Callithrix jacchus: one gene and its partners. The protein of the gene in region 1 interacts with the protein of each later gene in a pairwise test. Links are inferred from orthologs where the notes say so. Each region holds a gene or a part of one and is shown on either strand. Other genes may lie near its edges.

What was found. The genes of interacting proteins can lie anywhere in the genome.
Region 2: the proteins of CCDC102B (region 1) and EHHADH interact in binary tests that used the Homo sapiens proteins (3 or more experiments, as listed by UniProt). The two-hybrid records come from large-scale screens. The link is inferred for Callithrix jacchus from reciprocal best matches to the Homo sapiens genes CCDC102B and EHHADH.
Region 3: the proteins of CCDC102B (region 1) and MAGOHB interact in binary tests that used the Homo sapiens proteins (3 or more experiments, as listed by UniProt). The two-hybrid records come from large-scale screens. The link is inferred for Callithrix jacchus from reciprocal best matches to the Homo sapiens genes CCDC102B and MAGOHB.
Region 4: the proteins of CCDC102B (region 1) and NIF3L1 interact in binary tests that used the Homo sapiens proteins (3 or more experiments, as listed by UniProt). The two-hybrid records come from large-scale screens. The link is inferred for Callithrix jacchus from reciprocal best matches to the Homo sapiens genes CCDC102B and NIF3L1.

Annotation. Positions count from the first base shown.
Region 1 is NC_133514.1:111,495,573-111,500,120, reverse strand, and holds part of CCDC102B (coiled-coil domain-containing protein 102B), read right to left. Parts: intron 3,758-4,548; coding exon 3,537-3,757; intron 1-3,536. UniProt on the Homo sapiens protein: During interphase, forms fibers at the proximal ends of centrioles to maintain centrosome cohesion. During mitosis, dissociates from the centrosome following phosphorylation to allow centrosome separation. Contributes to CROCC/rootletin filament formation.
Region 2 is NC_133516.1:14,235,581-14,240,554, forward strand, and holds the start of EHHADH (peroxisomal bifunctional enzyme), read right to left. Parts: upstream 3,131-4,974; 5' UTR 3,104-3,130; coding exon 3,033-3,103; intron 1-3,032. UniProt on the Homo sapiens protein: Peroxisomal trifunctional enzyme possessing 2-enoyl-CoA hydratase, 3-hydroxyacyl-CoA dehydrogenase, and delta 3, delta 2-enoyl-CoA isomerase activities. Catalyzes two of the four reactions of the long chain fatty acids peroxisomal beta-oxidation pathway.
Region 3 is NC_133510.1:12,487,036-12,492,200, reverse strand, and holds the start of MAGOHB (protein mago nashi homolog 2), read right to left. Parts: upstream 3,131-5,165; 5' UTR 3,054-3,130; coding exon 2,960-3,053; intron 263-2,959; coding exon 204-262; intron 1-203. UniProt on the Homo sapiens protein: Required for pre-mRNA splicing as component of the spliceosome. Plays a redundant role with MAGOH in the exon junction complex and in the nonsense-mediated decay (NMD) pathway.
Region 4 is NC_133507.1:121,998,286-122,003,363, forward strand, and holds the start of NIF3L1 (NIF3-like protein 1), read left to right. Parts: upstream 1-1,948; 5' UTR 1,949-2,158; coding exon of another isoform or gene 2,159-2,592; 5' UTR 2,593-2,987; exon of another isoform or gene 2,988-3,149; intron 3,150-4,315; 5' UTR 4,316-4,339; coding exon 4,340-4,775; intron 4,776-5,078. Other genes in the region: PPIL3 (peptidyl-prolyl cis-trans isomerase-like 3), read right to left, coding at 303-327, 1,425-1,455, 1,800-1,948, 2,159-2,592. UniProt on the Homo sapiens protein: May function as a transcriptional corepressor through its interaction with COPS2, negatively regulating the expression of genes involved in neuronal differentiation.

The DNA of each region.
Region 1 (4,548 bases):
ACAGATATAGACTCTGTTTCATTTGGTAGCAAATTGCCAAAACACAAAATAGATGCTGAGAGGTAAAAAATGGTAAAGCTTTATTGAATATTCCTTAAGTGGACAGTTAATAAGGAAACAAAGTAAGCTTGACTTTCTAATATTTATAAATATTACATTAAAGAGTATTAACCAGATTTACATGCCAATTTATTCATTGAGAGTTATATATTCATTATATATAAATATATAATTATGTATAACATATATATTAATGAATGTATTCATTAATTGAGATATATATCTACTTTATATATATAAAGTAGAAATCTATCTCTCTCATACATATATAAAAAATAACCTTTGAAACATTTTTAATTTGCTGAAACTTCTAACCTGGATTTTAAATATCATATTATTAAGAAAAAATTGAACATTTAATGAAGCAAAGCAAAACAATTGAAGCATAATACTTTTCTTACATAAAAAATTAATTAAGAAAATAAAATGGGCTGGGCACAGTGGCTCACCCCTGTAACCCCAGAACTTTGGGAGACCAAGGCAGGTAAATCATTTGAGGCCAAGAGTTTGAGACCAGCATGGGCAATATGGCAAAACCCCATCTCTACTGAAAGTTGAAAAAAAAAAAAAATTAGCCAGGCATGGTGGCACAGCCTGTAATTCCAGCTACTAGGGAGGCTCAGGTGAGAGAATGGCTTGAGTCCAGGAGGCTGAGGTTGCAATGAGTAGAGATTGCACCACTGCACTCCAGCCTGAAGCTCAGCTTAAAAGACACAGAGCAAACATTTTATAAGTGATAAAGGAGGTATCTGCAGTGGAATTTGAAAACTGATTTTGAATGTTAAGACAGTTCAAAATATTTTATCTAAGTCTCTGTTACTTGAGATTTGGTATTGCCAAAGCTCCTTTTCTTAAATGTCTAGGTACACACAGCTGTATAATAGGATCAGGTTTCCTGGTCTTACTCCAAGTTTTCTACCTGGGAAGTCTTTATGAAAGTCAACAGAAATATATAAAGTCTCAGTATACGAGAAATTTTATATACTGGAGAATTATTCATAAAACTGAACCGTACTCAGAGTGCAAATAAATCAATAAACTTTCATCTATTTGAATAGGAGGTTCTAGTCAAGGACAATGGAAAAATGACTCTCTGAATTTCTGAGCTGATTTCTGTGCACTAGTCAAGAGAATTTTCCCACTAGATAGGAATGCAGGAAAAAAATACATTCACATCTTCTCAATTCAAGCCACCCACTCACTGAGATTCCAGGACAAAGAATTTAAAAGATTAGATGGATTTATAAGTAATAGCATATTCTCTATTCTTGGAAAACGTTCTCTTGTGATAGAAAAAAAAAATAGACTGTGATTGCCTCATGTGGATTGCATGCAAATGTTGATTCATGGACACAGGCACCATGACTCATAATGTCCGTGGGATTGTTTCTTAAAGAGGAGCGTGGGAAGACAAGGCCATGGAAAGTCTCCTTTTTTCTCTTATTCTTTGACCTGTCTATAGATTATAGACTGAAGTCACTGAGAACTGGAGAATTTACTTCCCCTGAGAATTGTTCATTCATTCCATAACAGGAAAAAGTATATGTTGTGTGCATGTATGTGGATAAACGTGTCAAGACAACACGTGCATATCTTTAAAATTGACACCTTAGAATAGAAAAGTTTACATCTAGAAAAACACAGCTCTACATTGTTCCTATCAGACTGCATCAGGGAAGTAATATTGTGAGTGGGCTGGAGAGAAGTCTGTAATTTCCAAAAAGTTAAATCCTTCAAGAAATAAAAGCACAGAGTTTAGAACGTGACTGACATGTATAGGTCTAGATAAAATTGTCACTATATATATTAGGCTAAAAATCCAATTTAATTATATTCTTTTTTCCACTAATATTGGTTGCCTCTCTTAGGAATGTACACTCAGTAGAGTAATAAGTATTTATTCTGTACACAGATGCTTATATGATCACAATCTATTCATCTAGTGAAATATAGAAGAAGAATCTAAAAAAGCAAGTGGTGGCACTAGTAAATTTCACAGGGACTAATGAGAAACTTCTGGCAGAAAATAAGTGGTAGATAAAGAACTTACTGTATTTGTGAATGGCTAGTACGCAAAATTATCCCTATTTCAGTCCATTTAAACCAGATAATTTAAAATTATTATATAATATATACTTATATTTATATAATATATTGTATGTATATGTGCATACATATCTCTCTTGCTTTTCCAGTTCTGCTTGTTAAGACTTTATAACTAAGAGATAAAAAATGATTATTTTTAGGTTTTGGAACCATATTTCAACATATATTAGATATTCTACATTGGGCTAATAAAACTGTAAGCTAATCACAAAGAAACAAAAATCCATATTGAACATTTCATATTACTAGCCTCTTCCCCAGACATTATTTCTTCTTGATTTTCATGAGAATTCAGTGAGAAAGGCTATGACAGACTGTGTTTTTCAGAGATCTTTGCCACAATGACTGCATCCTACACACCCTTATTATAAAATCGTTTTGACTCTCCTTCCATTGAAAGTGCCTCTCTCTTGAATCTGAGTCAGCCTTTGAGATGCCCACCCATCAGTGGGTCTGAAGTGATGCTAAGTGATTTGTGAGGCAGAGTCATTCAAATGGCGTTTTCTTCTCTGTGTTCTTAAGATGTTCACTTGTAACCTAGTCCCGATGTTGTGAGGAAGCCAAACAGCCTTATAAATAGCCCCAGTGCAGGTGTCCCAGCTGAGGCCTAGATGAGAACCAAGATGGACTGCCAGAGATATGAGTGAGAGAGGCTCTAGCCCCCAGCCTTCCAAGCATGCCAGACTTTGAGCCATTGCAGCTGAAGGCACAAGTCAGAGATAAGGATATCCGTGCCAAGCCATGCTCAAGATTCTTGAACAGAAGACATAGCGATCATTGTTGATATGTTTTAATGATCATTGTTTGGAAAAGTTTGTTTCAAGACAACAGAAAACTGGAACATAACATCACTACAGCTATTTTCACAAAAGCAGCAACAGCCAACGTCCCATAGCTAGAATACATCAGAACAAAGATGAATATCCAGGCCAATTAATCACAAGCCTGAAGCCCTAATGGTCCATGTATAAGACAGCTTATTCTGTAATCAGTATCTCACAAAATTGTGATTTTTTTCCACTATTAAAATTAACATATTTATTGACCAAGTCCAAATGCTGTAAAAATTAAATAATACACTGGATATTTTAACCGTGGACATTAAGAATTCAGAAAAAATTAAAGTGAATCTACCAGAGATGGTAAGAACATAGTCATGATAAAAGTCAATTTAAAAGAATGAAGAACACTAACAAGTTATAGATTACTTTTCAAAATTCAAAATATATGTCAAACTAATTTATTTAAATACTAAAACGTAACGACTAAACATGGATAAAATACATTAACAAATGATCGATCTATCAGTGTTAACAATTTTAAGTGGTTTGAAACAGACTTGGTTAAGGTAGAGAATGATTAGCACTTACTCTCTTTCTTTCCATAAGATTTTTTGGAACTCATTCAAATGCACCTGCAAAGCTGAAATTTCAGTTACTTGATTATCCAAAGGCAGATTTATTGCTTTCAGTTTCAGCCCAGGTTTCATTTCACCATTTCCAGAGCCACCATTCTTGAATAAATCAACACTATCTAGATTAGGTTTCATCTCGTCATTTAATTTTAAAGAATCAATAACCGCTCCTTCTTCCTGAAAAAATAAAACAATTATGGTGGATATTTAAACCCCTTAGGAGAAAAATCATGACAACAATACAATTTCATAAAGAAATAAACGTTACAATACAGCATCAAATCCATATTTTTATTTCATTATCAGTACCTAAAAGTGTTACGTGGCTGAACTTACTTGAGTTCTTCTTCAAACTTTTCTATGTTCTTCCTTGTTATAATAAAATACATTTCTAAAAGGGTCTGCTTTACCTCTTTGTTTGTTTTCTTTTTCTAATCATAGCTAAAAATAACCATGCACAAAGTTGAACAGCTGAAAAGAATTTTTTAATGAGTTGATGAATTCTTTTTCAAGTTTCTTTTGTCATAAGAAAGACATAGTTTCAAAGTAATTATTTTTGTAACATTTTTGAAAGACGATAGAATTTTCAGAAAGCTCTTGAATATTTCAATAAGCTCACTTATTGCTTTATTTTAGTTAATGAGTCACATCTCAAATAGAATTTAATGGGACACTTGATACGGACATCAATACTAGAGCAGCAACTGCGTCAATATTCTTAGTGCGTAACTCAAAAGCTTCACAGGACTCATGCTATTGGTATTTGACTATAATTTAAATTTACCCTAGTTTATAAGTTCGAAGTGAAAGACAATTTCAAATAAAATCTCATTGAATAATCAAGTTTAAGTAAAATCTCCAGAATGCTTCAATATTTTATGTTTTAAATAATATATGGGTGCCAGATTACCTAGTATAATTCATTCCTCAATTCTCTCAAGAATGAGTATTGCAATTATCTGTATCAT
Region 2 (4,974 bases), on another chromosome or scaffold:
AACCCCATCTCTACTAAAATTAAAAAAAAAAAAAAACACTGGGTGTGGTGGTGCGTGCCTTTAGTCTCAGCTACTTGGGAGGCTGAGGCAAGAGAATTGCTTGAAAACCTGAAGGCGGCGGTTGCAGTGAGCTGAGATTGCCCCACTGCACTCCAGCCTGGGTAAAAGAGTGAAACTCTGTCTCAAAAAAAAAAAACAAAACAATTAGCTGGGCATGGTGGTGGGCACCTGTAATCCCAGCTACTCAGGAGGCTGAGGCAGGAGAATCGCTTGAACCCAGGAGGTGGAGGTTGCAGCATGCCAAGACTGCATCACTGCACTCCAGCCTGGCGACAGAGCAAGACTCTATCTCAAAAAAAAAAAAAAAAGAAAGAGAAAAGAAAATAGAATATATCAAACAATATACCATGTAAGGATAGGTTTTGTTTTAGGAAACTTTGTTTTCTGTTACGCGTTTGTATGTAAGTGTGTCTTGAATTGCTATGTAAAAACATAAGCTTAAAGCAAAAGTGTGAAAGCCACTGTCCTGGGAGACAGCCTATTAATCAGGCATGTCCTACATGTATAAAGAGGGCTGGTGTTTATCTGAATGGAAGCAAACATGGCTGGCTAAACTAGCAATGAAGGATTTAAACTATTTTTTCAGGGGGAAAAATTTATATATGTATATACATGTTTGTGTGTTTGTGTGTGTGTATGTGTGTATACTCAAGTAAGAATCTCTCAATGAGCTGGGAAGAGATGACTTCCCATATAGAATTAGAAATAGGAAGGAGAAAGGAAGCAAGGGAGGAAGGAAAGAAAAGTGAAATAAAAAAATTGAGGAATCTGTTAAACTTGAGGAACTGCAAGGATGTACATTTCCACTTTAAAAAAAAGTTCAAAAAACAGATGAAAAAGGGCAGAGAAGTCCTTATTTCCAAATGGAGAAAATCTTCCTGATGAAACTGAAGTGGAGCCTGGGTAGCAAGGCCTGTTGGTAAGGGCTTGAATAGGTCTTCTGACTAATACGAATGATAGCTGACATCCATTAAATGCCAGTTTACAATTTCCAGCTGATTTAAACTTTATAACTTTATGAGGTAGACACTAACATTTCTCCTGCAAAAAGGGATGGGGGTGGCACAGGTGGTGGCATGGGTGGGCAGGGAGAACAGGTTAAATTCCAGAAGCATTTAAAACAGTTGCCAGAAAATATGCCTAGTCATGGGTGTTAGAGGATGGAACTTTCCCCCTAAGGTCCTAACATCTAGCAATTCTAATCAGTATACAGACCAGTCCAAAATGGACATGTAATCATATTACTTACATTTTTCTTTGTTAAAATCAACATAACAGATATTTTGCTTTTTATTCTGGGAATGCCAAGTTAGTAGACATGTCATCCTTATGTGATTTTAGTGCTGCATTTTTTTGGCATATTACTAAATGCAATAAATCATACCGAAATAAAAATTCTAATGATAAATCTGATGACAGTAAGATTTTTAAATTCTATTAAAATCAGCAGATCTTCTCATTTCAATCTTTTTGCTCCAACAGCACATAAGAATTTTGACCAAAGACATTTCTCTCTATGCCATATATATTCTTGGTAAATTATAATTTCCACTAATCCTATTCCCTGTAGATAGGTAATTCTTTTTTCAAGGCTGATGTATAACTACTTTTTTAAAGAGATGCAGAAGGACCAAATAAATTCATTACTATTCAAAACGACAACACTGATCTCACTTTTTTTTTTGAGGCGGAGTCTCACTTTTGTCGCCCACGCTAGAGTGCATTAGCGCAGGATCTCTGCTCACTGCAACCTCTGCTTCCTGGGTTCAAGCTATTCTCCTGCTTCAGCCTATAGTCCCAGCCCCAAGTAGCTGGGACCATAGGCATGCACCGCCACATCCAGCTAATTTTTGTATCTTTAGTGAAGATGATGTTTCACCATGTTGGCCAGGCTGGTCTCGGACTACTGACCTTAGGTGATCCACCCGCCTCAGCCTCCCAAAGTGCAAGGATTACAGGCATGAGCCACCATGCCAGGCTGATCTCACTTTTTAAAGTAATGTTTTAAGTGCAGTACACACGGCAAGTACTCCCCAGTGAGAAAAAGAAGACAAGGTGCAGTTTTTCAGAAACTGCTGGTACACAGGCTTAGTTGGATGTGAGTCTTCCTCGGAAGCACCAGTCTTGAGGTTTAAACAAATCAGGAGAAATAATTTTGCGTTTGTGAGTCAGGGCACAATTCTGCTTTAATCACTACCTTGGCATTAGTGGGACTTCATTTTTTTTTTTTAATGTTAAAACATTTTATTGCCCAATTCCTAAAGCTTTTAGCCAAACATGGTAAGGGCAGCCTGGACTCAAAGTTGGGGAGTGAGGCTGGATCAAAGTCCAAAATGCAACTAAGTTAAGACCTTTGCATTAGAGACGCCAAAGCTGCAAGTAAGCAGAAGGGTTCCCAGGACGGACAGGGCAACGCCAGCTCCCTAAGTTAGCATGTGTCTCAGCCTCTGTTTCCTTACCAGGAAAATGGGGACGAGAGTTCTCTGCAAAGATTAACCAAGCTAATCTAGGAGAAGGAAAGAAAGAGAGAGAGAGAGAAAGGAGAGAAAGAGGGAGGGAAGGAAGGAGAGAGAGAAAGAAAGAAGAGAGGGAGTGAAGGAAAGAAGGAAGGAAGGAAGCAAGGAGGGAAGGAGGGAGGGAAGGAAGGAAGGGGAGAGAGAGAGAGATGAGAGAAAGAGGGAGGGAAGGAGGGAAAGAAGGAAGGAAAGAGAAAGTGAGAGAGGGAGCGAGGGAAGGAAGGAGGGAGGGAGGCGGGGAGGAAAGGAGGGAAGTAAGGAGAGAGAGAAAGAAAGGAGAGAGGGAGGGAGGGAAGGAAGGAAGGAGGGAAAGCAGGCAGGCTCCTGGCATATACCAGTTGCTCAACTGTCAGTGTCTTTCTCCGTTTAAACCAGCCGGGGACAGTCAAAGCCTCCAGAGCCGCGGGCGGATAAGGCCCCCACGGTCCCAGGGCTGGAGGCGACGGAGCCGGTTACCTGATCACGTTGACCGGCGGGTTTCGGAAGCGGATCAGCGCCAAGGCGTTGTGCCGCGTATACTCGGCCATGTTTCCTCTGTCACCGAGGGTACCTCTGCCTCTCGCCTTCAGGCGAAGCCACTTTTCCGGGCGCGCCAGCAGCCCCGAGGGGAGGGACGCGGGCTTAGCCAATGCGAGCCGGGGCACCGCCTCCTGCCGCGCCTCTTCCCACCCAGGTCCTCCTCTCCCGAGACTCCACCCCGCGCTCCACAGACGCTTGTGCTTTCTCTTTGTTGACTCCCACGCTGCTCCTGCTACAAAGTACCGCAAGGAGAATGATGGAAAACAGGTGTCACTGCCGGCAAGTCGAAGTTTGCAATCCCTGGCCCACAGGAGCCGGCTACTGAGGACAAGTTCTGAGTTCACTGAGTCGGGCAAGCTGTCCGCATCGCAGTATTCATCTTCATGATCCTTCTGAACAGGGACAGATACCTGGGGCCCTGACAGTTATGTGATACTGATACTCATCGGAACACATAAAATACCCATTGTTTATTTCACCTAAATGAGTAGGGTACTGATGAAACAGACTTCGCAAAAATTCTAACAGTGAGAAAATTATGACAGTGGGAGAGATCTGATTTAACCAACCCCTATCTTGCCTTTAGCTACCCTTAATTATTCCTGAGCTTGGGCTAAGTTAACTTTGGGAGACACTTAGTTTATAGTTTAAATGATAATGGCCCTTTCCCAAAACTCAACTGCCTTTGTAAAGCTAAATGAGAGACCACCAGGCTAGGAGGATAGCAGAGCCTGACTTCTGTTTGTTAAGGTGTAGACATAGACCATTGCCAGCCATTATTCCGGAGGCCACCAGATAGACAACTTCCCCATTTACTCCTGCAGATAACATTACTATTGTAGAACCTAAGTTTGGCCCTTTGAGATATCGTTTCAGATTTTTTGCATGCCTGACACTGATGGCTCCTCCTGGACCAGTCAACTGCTCCTGTGGCCCTGCCCACACACAAGTCAGTACAAGAGGCAGCTTCCTTTGACCCCCTAGGAGTTCGTCTCCAACCCAGCCAGTCAGCACTTCCCATAACCTAGCTCCTGCCCACCAAACTGCCTTTGAAAAACCCCTAAGCTACTAGCCTTGGATGAGACTGATTTGAGTAATAACTCCATCTCCCACATGGCCTGGCCAGCCTCACATCAATTAAACTCTTTCTTCACTGCAATGCCGAGGTCTCCTCGAATTGATTTTATTTGTGAAGCAGGCAGGAAGAACCTATCCAGTGATCACACTAACATCAACCAAATACTTACATAATGTCGTGTACTGGAGAAGGGTCTGGACTGCAAGTTGGCCAGGTTTTTGACATTTTGAACAAAGAACTGGATGGAACACACAAACAAAGCCAGGAAAGAACAAAGCAACAGAAGCAGAGATTTACTGAAAATGAAAAGACACTTTACAGGGTGGGAGTGGGCCTGAGAAAGGGGCTCAAGGGCCCTTGTTACAGAATTTTCTGGGGTTTCAATACCCTCTAGGGGTTTCCCATTGGTTACTGGGTGTATGCCCTACGTAAATGAAGAGGATGAAGTAAAATTACAAAGTCATTTACTCAGTGTACATCCTATGTGAGTGAAGAGGATATTTCCTGTCATAGCTGAAGTGTTTCCATTTGATTTAGTTCTAAGAAGTTCCTTAGGTTCCCTGGTTCCAAGCCCTGTTCTCCTTTCTCAACCTCACTTTTATTTGTCTTACAATAACACACAACTAGTGAAACTGTTACTGGTGGAGGGTGTCCAGGTTCTCGCCATTTTGACCAAAATCCCCTACAATTTTGGAACACATATTAATATCATTCACTAAAATATAAGCTGAAGATGATTACATATTATTTTTTATTTTGATAATGCTTCCCATGTAACTAAACATGTCAAATAATCCTGTT
Region 3 (5,165 bases), on another chromosome or scaffold:
ATAAATGCAAGTATAGTTCACATCACAGTTAGTTCTCTGAACTTTCTCATCACTATGGATGCAACAATTGTATCTATTTGAAACAGAAATGCCTTTCTATCTATAAATTGGCTTCTTATTTACAATGGAAACTTAGATGTATTTTTGTAAATTCAACACACACTTGAAGAAAATGGGCTAAAAGACATTTGAATATAACTTACCTCTTTTCTGATCATTACGTCATTTTTGTAATTGCTGTTGTTGGCATATCTAAGCTTTCCTGTGAGAAGTGGAGAAAAAAAATCAATTTATAATAGCAAAAACTGCCAAAAAAAAATTAATGACATTGTATACAATTATGAAGGCAAAAACCATTTGATACTACTACTTTTATTAGTATTTCCTCCCTCCTTGTGTAAGATGCAGAAATGTAGACAATAAATATTTGCTGGTTAAGTTTGCTGAAGTTGAAGGTGGCCAAATATTTAAATAGCCCATGCCTATACTATATATTGGGTCATTTTTAAGGCCTGTTTTCTTAAGCTACATCATGAACTAGAAAGAGAATCTGCAAAAGGCACTAACATTCCTTTCAAGTTTGTTATATGTCCGTATTGGTGCTAAGTGTCTTACCCAGAGCATTTAATCTTTAAAACAACCCTAAAAAACAAGTTTTATTATCTCACGTATTCATAGGAGAGAAAACAAAGTAACTTAACCAGGGTCACACAAGATTCAGCTCTAAATCTACTTTCTTTCAATACTCATGCTTTCTCCACTACACAAAATGTTTTAATTTCTTTCCTTCCAGTGTATGCATACAATTATGATAATGCAGACATTTTAGAATTATGACTAAGAAGCATACAAACAATGCTTCTGGGTCAAAGTTGGTGAGTTTGTTGGCTGGTTTATATTTAATTTTAATCCATCACGATTTTTGTATTCTCTGATGTATACTTCCCCTTATGGCCAGTCAGTTGCCCAGACACAGGTACAATGTACTGCAGATACTCTAAAATGATGGAAATGCCAGTCTTTGATGGCCAGGGACAGTGGCTCATGCCTGTAATCCCAGCACTTTGGGAGGCTGAGGTGGGTGAATCACCTGATGTCAGCAGTTCAAGACGAGCCTGGCCAACATGGTGAAAAATTAGCTGGATGTGGTGGCGCATGCCCACAATCCCAGCTACTCAGGAGGCTGAGGCAGGAGAATCCCTTGAACCCAGGAGGCCGAGGTTGCAGTGAACCAGGATCACACCATTGCACTCCAGCCTGGGCGACAGAGCAAGATTCCAGTCTCAAAAAAGAAAAAAAGAAAAGAAAAAGAAAAAAGATGCCAGTCTTCAGGACTCACTATTACCAATGGAGGTATGTGGAATGGCGCGGTGGCAGCTACATTGATTAGAACCATTGTTCTACCATACAATTTCCCTGATAATATTCAGGTACTTAATTTATGTGACCTGCTAAAAGGGATAGGGATAAGCATGATGTTGTTCACAGGCAGAGGAACTGAAAATAATATTAAAGAAAGATCAATTCAGGTAAATTTAGCTGAATTTATGGAGAGAGTAAGGTTGAATACAGCGATTAAGGTTTCTAAATAACTGCAGGGCTGGCTGGGTGCAGTGGCTCATCCGTGTAATCCCAGGACTTCGGGCAGCTGAATCACTTGACCTCGAGAATTTGAGGCCAGCCTGGGCAACATGGGAAAACCTGTCTCTACCGAAAAGAAAAATGAGTCAGGAGAGGTGTCACGGGCCTTACTCCCAGCAACTCGGGAGGCTGAAGTGGGAGGATCACTTGCGCCCGAGAGGCAGAGGTTGTAGCGAGCTGAGACTGTGCCACTGCACTCAGATCGGAGTGACACAGTGAGACCCTGTCTCAAAAAAAATAATAACTGCAGGACTGTAGTTAACGTGAGTTCCGTCTGAAGTGCTTGGTACTCTCCTCTTTTCCTAATATACACTCCTCCTGTAATTTTCTATTCTTGCTCTCACAGAACATTGTCCAAAACATGCTTATAGGACTTAATATGCATATTGCCTTATAGTTAAACGTCTGTGTCTCCCACCAAGACCAATCTCTTTGAGTTAAATTTAAGTCTTACTATTGTATCTTCAAATTTTGTATTTGCTTGTTGCCCAGCACAAAATGTGCATTCAAAAAAACCCAAAAAATATGTTTCCAAATGAACTTTCTTGTTGGAGGTAGGCAAGATCAATGTAACATTCTCTAAGGATAGTGCTGTCAGAAAACACAAATTGTTGCACACTACATGGGTAGCAGTTTCACCTGGTCCTCGGCTCATTCTGCTCTGGAAGTCTGGTTTTTTTCTCTCTCAAAGGCCAAGTCTCTCATTTCCAGACTCATCTCAGTAGTGTCGTCATCTAGGAAGATTTTCCTGATTCCCTCCTGTGGAACTTTGCCTCTCTCCTCTTTTTTGATACTCTATATACATGCTGTGGTGAACAATTATACTTAAGCACCTAAAACATATTATTATTCTCATTTGTTAACACGTCGAGCTCCTCCCCTTCAAATAACACACACAGCCTGAACGAACAAAATGTACTGGTTGCAAGATTTTATTCATCTATTGGACCACCAATGGTGGGGGTGTTTTCAAAAAGATGCTAGCATTTTTAATTATGGCGACCATCTCCAGAACCTTTCAAGTCCCTTCAGATGCACTGTTAAAAAATTATAATTACTGTAGGTTCAACTTTTCAGTTTGTGACAGGATTAGCTTTAATTTATAGCAATTCTCTTTACTTTATAAAACCAACTTGGGCCTCCTATATTCTTAAGCTCCTATTTCCTTCGGGGAAAGCAGTGGCCTCCGCCCCCTGCACACTCTCAAGCCTACAGAAGCTCGGCTCACCCCACACCACCCGGCCTCCCCTCGCCTTCTCCACGGACTCTAGGTCTCGCTCCCCTTTCCTAGCACCGCGTGCCGTGGGCCTCTTCTCACCGTCCGGCCGAAATTCGAACTCCAGAAACTCGTGCCCAAACTTGCCCTTGTGCCCTACGTAGTAGCGCAGATAGAAATCGCTAGCCATAGACATTTTTGTCCCTGCTAAGCCCGCCGAAAACAGACACAAGGTATCGCCCGGCGCCTGGCAGTGACGTCATTGCGCGGAATACGTGCGTCACCACAGGCGCCGCTTTTCCTCGTTCGGTGCAGCCCTGCCGAAAAGCTGGAAGGCCGAGTGTCGCTTGAGAGGCCGGAGTCACCGAAGGGAGGGTCGCAGCGACGTGACTTACGCTTTAAGAGGATTGGAAGCACACTATTTTCAAAATAAGGATTATAGTATATTAGCAAAAACTAGAAATCTGAGCATATGATAGTCTTTTTTATGGATTTAGAGCTAAGGTTTGCAAGTCGCTCTTACTTTTCTGGTCTCCCAGTCTGGCATCTGTGAGGTGGGTGTGGCTTCATGCGCCTCTAACTGTGAGCTAAATAAAGATAAAGCTTAGAATCGAAATAGCAGACTGGGAGTATAAACCGTTTTTCTTGGTTTCTAACAGGGTGCTTTCCCCTTTGGATAATGCTTGGTAGTTACCTGGACTATAAGCCTATAATAATAGAGACAAAGTCCAAGAAATCTATCACACGAAAGAGCTGAAAGTCTTAGACACACAGACACGCTGGTACACACTGAAAAACCCTGACAGTTATAACAGCTACAAGTCTATAATAATAGAGACAAAGTCAAAGGAATCCATCATACGGAAGAGCTGAAGTCTTAAAACACACACACACTGAAAAATCCTGACAGTCACCGTGCTTTTAACAGCAGAACTTCTAAGGTTTTTCATGCATTCAGTAAGGGTTAACTTTTAGTAGCCTGTGGAGTTTTGGCAATTTGATTTAAGATATAATAAGGATATTTAGCCCACGTTTCTCGCCAGGTGGAATTAAATTGGAGGCATGAAAGAATGCTCCATTGTGGGGTGGGTTTGAAGGAAAGGAAAAGACTAAAGTCTGTTTTTCAAATATGATTGATCACCCTTTTGTTACCAACACACAGAGTAATCCTGTCTGTCGGTTGATAACCTTCAATGGAATTTAGTAAAAAGTAATGAGAAGACCTGGGATTCAATCCCAACACTTACAGCTTCCTAACCTTGGGCAGGTCACTATCTCTAAGCCTGTTTGTTCATCAGTCTTATGCATATAGAGCAATCTACTTTGTCAAATTCACAGAATTCTTGAGAGATCAAATGAGAATAATATGTAAAATAAGCTTTAAATTTTATAAAACAGCTTTTAACAAACATTTCCTATGTGACAAAAAGTTTGAAACTAGAAATGAGCCATTTGCACTGGTAGTCTAGAAAAGAAAGCAAATATGTAAGGCAAATATCAGCACAAGGGAGCAATTGCTAATTGCTCTTAATATATTTAAGATAATTAAGAATATACATAGCCAGGCATGTTGACTCATGCCTATAATCCCAGCACTTTGGGAAGCCAAGGCAGGCTAATCACCCAAGGTCAGGTGTTCAAGTCCAGAAACCCTGTCTCTACTAAAAATACAAAAATTAGCTGGTGTAGTGGCACATACTTGTAATCCTAGTTACTCAGGAGGCTGAGGCAGGATAATCACTTCAATTCAGGAATCGGAGGTTGCAGTGCGCCGAGATCGTGCCATTGTACTCCAGCCTGGGTGACAAGAGTGAAACTTCGTCTCGAAATAAAATAAAATAAAATAAAAGGAATATATATAAAGCATGCTGCTAATACAGCAGAGGAAGCAAATGCATTCTATTGCAGAGTAGGGAAATTTGAAAAAAGAGAAAGCTTGTCAACAGAGGTATTTGAATTGGACCTTGAGAAGTAAGTTCTGTGTATGTTTAGTGGTATGAACAAGCATTCCCAGCAGAGAATGAACTGAGCAAAGACAGTGGTGTGAAAATGCATGTTTTGGGAAAGCCAAGAAATTTGGTATAGCTAGAGCAGAGGGTTCAAGTAGAATGACTAAAAAGGCAGATTGGGCCAAGTTACCTTGAGTCCATATTAGAAGTTATATAACTATTAATATAGAAAAGTGAATCAATCCCTACAATAGGTCACCATTTTGGAAAATACATAAGAAACAGGAAGCACTATGCTTTCTCACTAGGGTGACAAGCTGTTCCAGTTTGACCAGGACTGTGGAGTTCACTGGGACATG
Region 4 (5,078 bases), on another chromosome or scaffold:
GCGGTGAGCCGAGATCGTGCCGTTGCACTCCAGCCTGGGTAACGAGCGAAACTCCGTCTCAAAAAAAAAAAAAAAAGAATTTTAAAGTAACTTTGTGTATTTTTAAAAGAAATATTTCATATTAAATGCTTCTATAGCGTACAATTTCTCCATCTTCTCACTGCAATTCCCATGCAGTTTTATTGCCCTTGACTGAATTTCTAAAAATTACTTATAATGAAAGACATTTCATAAGAATTGGTCAAAACTTACCATTTTTCCTCTTAGTGGTTTCAGGAAAGACTACGTAATTTCTCAGAGTCTTACAGCGGGGTCAAAAGTAAGTCTCTAGTCCCAAAAGAAAAAAAGAATTAGGCTCATATTTCTATCTTCCTAATTCACACACACTCACCTTTACTGCACATTTTAAATAAAAATCCTCGCCCAGAATGGTGGCTCACGCCTGTAATCCCAGCAATTTGGGAGGCCAAGGCGGGTGGATCGCCTGAGGTCAGGAGTTCAAGACCAGCCTGGCCAACACGGCGAAATCCTGTCTCTATTAAAAACACAAAAATTAGCGGGGCGTGATGGCACTTCTCTATAGTCTCAGCTACTCTGGAGGCTGAGGCAGGAGAATCGCTTGAACCCCGGAGGCGGTGGTTGCAGTGAGGCGAGATCCCGCCACTGCCAACCTGGGTGACAGAGACAGACTCCGTCTCAACAAAAAAAAATTCTTCTAATGGCATCCCCTATGTAATAAAAACCCAGCTATAGAGTAATGATAAGAGACCCTACCCGATTCAAGCCTCCCAATCTCCGACTTGCCCTGCTTGCTCTTCTTCAAGAGCCTCCTTGCAAGTCCCCCAGTAAGCCAGATACCTTCCCTTAGGGGCTAGGCACTGGGTGTCCCTTTTGCCTGGAATGCTTATTACACTCAAGACATCTCTACAGCTAATTTCCTCACCTCCAAATTTCTGCTTAAATGTCAAGTTTAACTGACCTGACAACCCTACATAAAACTGCTTGAGACCGAGGACATTCCTATTTCCTTCTCCCACAGCACTTACTACTAATATACTATTAACTTCTCTCCCTTTATTTTTGAGACGGAACCTCGCTCCGTCGCCAGGCTGGCGTGTAGTGGCGTGATCTCGGATCACTGCAACCTCCGCCTCCCGGGTTCAAGTGATTGTCTTGCCTCAGCCTCCCGAGTAGGTGTTATTACAGGCACGCGCCACAGGGGTTCCACCCGGCTCGGCCTTCCAAAGTGCTGGGATTACTAGCGTGAGCCACCGTACCCGGCCCTTCTCTTATTCTCACGTTGCAACAACAGCCTCGTTGCCCACTGTTCACTCGCAGTATCCCAAGAACTAAACCAGTAGCAACACAGAGCTCAGCAAGTATTCGAATAAGTGAATGAAAGAATTAATGACGTTGCTCCATACTTGGGCTTCACCACTTCGTTTAGCACAGCCGCTGTTAAAAGAGGAAAAATGCAATCGCACAAGCCAGCAGAGTTCTGTTGGTTCAAAATTATAGTTTCTATAGGCCAGCGGAAGTTGGGCGCGGGAACCAAGAGAGAGAACGCCCCTTACCGCCTCATCTCTCTCCTCCCCACTCCTTCCTCTCTCAAACCAAAACGACACTGTAATTTATCCCCCACCGGAAATTTGACAGTGAAAGGGAGCTCTTAATAATTCCACTGGGACAAGAAGCGTAAGGCAAAACTATCCGGGTAACCTCAGGCAATGTTTTACACTCGGTTGCCGAACTGAAAGGACCACTTCCGCCCAGCTTTCCAGCTACTGGGAACCCATTACCACAGCGCCACGAGCGCCGACGCAGGACCGGAAGTGACGTAAGAAGTTCCCGGGACTGGTGAGTTGTGCGCGATTTAAAAACCCGCGAGTGTAGTTGTGACCTTCGCGGAAGGTTCAGGTTAGGGCAGGCTGTGATTGTTATGTTGATGCTGCAGAGGCAAGCAGAAGAGATTGGGTCAGAAAACTACCCCGCCACGAGACAGCACTGTGTACTGGGGGTCCTTACTCATACTTACTGGCTGTTTTCACTGTCCTGGAAAAGACATGAAATGAGGCAAAATTAGGTAAGGTAGAGGGAGCGATTTGCAGGCTGCAAAGGGGCCCTGCTGATGCTACTTAATAGCAAAAACAGTGCTTACCTTAGTACGAGAGCTGTTTCCAGCTTTACGTGTGAATCTCGCGATATTGTGGCCGTGGCACTATTTGCTGCCCCAGAGGAAACTGCAGATGATAACTCATTTGCCTGTTGTTGCACAACTGTGACTCTGACTTCAGAGTCCCTCCCACCATACTGTGCTGCCTCCTGTTGTCGTTGTTGACAGTGGCCATGGAGCCTCTCAGTTTCCTCATCTGTAACAGTAAATAACTCAAAACCTGCATGGCGGCCCGCAAGGGTTTCACTTTCGAGCTTGCCAGATGTAGAAGAGGCTGGAGAACGGAGTACTGTGAGGATCATTAGAATATCTTCCAAGGCCGGACGCAGTGGCTCATGCCTGTAATCCCAGCACTCTGGGAGGCCGAGGCAAGGTGGATCGCTTGAGTGCAGGAGTTTGAGACCAGCCTTGGGCAACATGGCAAGATCCCATCTCTACTAAAAATACAAAAATTAGCCAGGTGTGGTGTTCTGCGCCTATAGTCCTAGTTACTCAGGAGGCTGAGGTGGGAGGATCTGTTTGAGGCCAGGAAGTCGAGGCTCCGGTGACCTGAAACCCGCACCGCTGCACTCCAGCCTAGGTGACGAGTGAATCCCTGTCTCAAAATGAAAAAAACAAAAACTTTCAAGACCTTGAGTGGTTTTTGGAGACCCTGTATTACTTCAAATAATGCATTAAATAAACATCCCCATCTCATTAAATAGAAATGTTGAAAAATTGGGCCGGGCGTGGTAGCTCACGCCTATAATCCCAGCACTTTGGGAGGCCGGGTGGATGACGAGGTCAAGAGATCAAGACCATCCTGGTCAACAAGGTGAAACCCTGTCTCTACTAAAAATACAAAAAAAAATTAGCTGGGCATGGTGGTGCACGCCTGTAGTCCCAGCTACGCGGGAGGCTGAGGGAGGAGAATTGCTTGAACCCAGAAGGCGGAGGTTGCGGTGAGCCGAGATCATGCCATTGCACTCCAGTCTAGGTAACAGCAGCAAAACTCCGTCTCAAAAAAAAAAAAAGAAAAATTGCTTGTGGAATAATTGGCTTATGGATATTTCATCAAATTTGCAATTGACTATGCTTTTCTTCAAAAAGTGTTTATAGGTAGTAAGTTTAAGAATGGGGTTGACAGCATTATCTTTTGTAGTTATTTGATTAAACATTTACTAATTGTGCATATTTTGGAGCCAGCAATTTTTTTCTGTCTCTCCGTTGCCCTCCCACCTTCCCTTTGTTGCCAGCCTTTTCAGTTCCTTGTTGGATGTAGATATTTAGAAGGCTTACAGGCTGTGTGGGGAAAGTGCTCTATATCTTACCCCCTCCCACCTCTTGAGCCTGGCCTTCGTGTAGCAAATGTTGCTTAACGGGCAGTGGCTTCTCCCTTCTCCTGCCTTGACCCTGCCCATTTGTAGAGTGACCTCCCTATGTATGCCTTGATTCTTAATGCTGATAAAGCACTTGAAATTTTAAACATTATTCTGGTTTTTGATAAAGTGTGTTGTAATGCCAGTATATGCCACCCAACTCCAAATTCTGTTGTAATCGGGAGTCGGGAGGTAGGCAAGGTCATTCTATGCAGTTAGCATTTAGTGCTGGCTTATATATTGGTTATACCGAGATTTATTAAAGATAGTTCCTGTTCCCTAGTAGCTTCAGCATAATGGAGCACACACGCAATTCTGAGAACACTGAGGGGTGGGGAGCCTTAGGAAAGATGCTGAAAAGGAAGGTTTGTCAAGAAAAGTTTTATTTAAGAAGTTGAAGGGGGCTTGGGAAAAGGGAAGGTAATATTTAGAGAAATGGATTAGGGAGAAGGTTGGTTGAAGCAAGAGTGGGAAGAATGAGAACAAGGTGTGTGAGACAGGAGACGGGATGGACATTTGTGTATTATATACCAGGCTCTGCTGGGTTATGTAATTCATTTGGTCCTCTAGATGGCCTGTGAGGTGGGTTATAGTATCTCCATTTCCTAGGCGAGAAAACAAGAGAGGTTAAATGGCTTACCTAAGCTACAGTGTGCTGGTAAGTGGCAGAGCCACTATTTGAACCCAGATCTCTATGATGACAACTCTTGTCCATATGATTTGATGCCTCAAAGATCCAGGCCTAAAGTGTACATGTGTACCATTTTCTTTGTTTTGACTTCAGAAACGACTTTTACCTGATTTCTGTATGTTGTCATCTTGTGTACGCCCGGTCCCCACGACAGTCCGGTTTATAGATTCCCTGATCTGCAATTCTTCCCGTTCCTTCATGGATTTGAAGGCTCTCCTTTCTTCCTTGAATGACTTTGCATCCCTCTCCTTTGCTGAGAGTTGGGACAATGTTGGATTACTGGTGGAACCAAGCCCACCACATACTGTAAATACCCTCTTCCTGACGAATGACCTGACTGAGGAAGTGATGGAGGAGGTGCTGCAGAGGAAGGCAGACCTCATTCTCTCCTACCATCCACCTATCTTCCGACCCATGAAACGCATAACGTGGAACACCTGGAAGGAGCGCCTGGTGATCCGGGCTCTGGAGAACAGAGTGGCTATCTACTCTCCTCACACAGCCTATGATGCTGCACCCCAGGGAGTCAACAACTGGTTGGCTAAAGGGCTTGGTGAGAAGCCGCTTTCATATTTGTTATTTTACCTACAAATACTTTGAAACTTTCGAATGTCTTTCCAGTAAAGTTTTGACTGCTTTCGGGGTGGGAAGGGTATCATTCCATTTTTATATCATTTTAAAATAATTTTGCTGAAATTTGGCAGTTAAATTGCATTTGAAAAGAGAAACATTTTTTATCTTTATGGAATGAGAGCAGAAGTCTTCCTTACTGGACTGAGCTTCGTGATTCCTCATTTTTGTGGCACAATGCCTGTCACCTAGGCACTTGAAAAATGCTTGTTGAATTGAAAGCTCA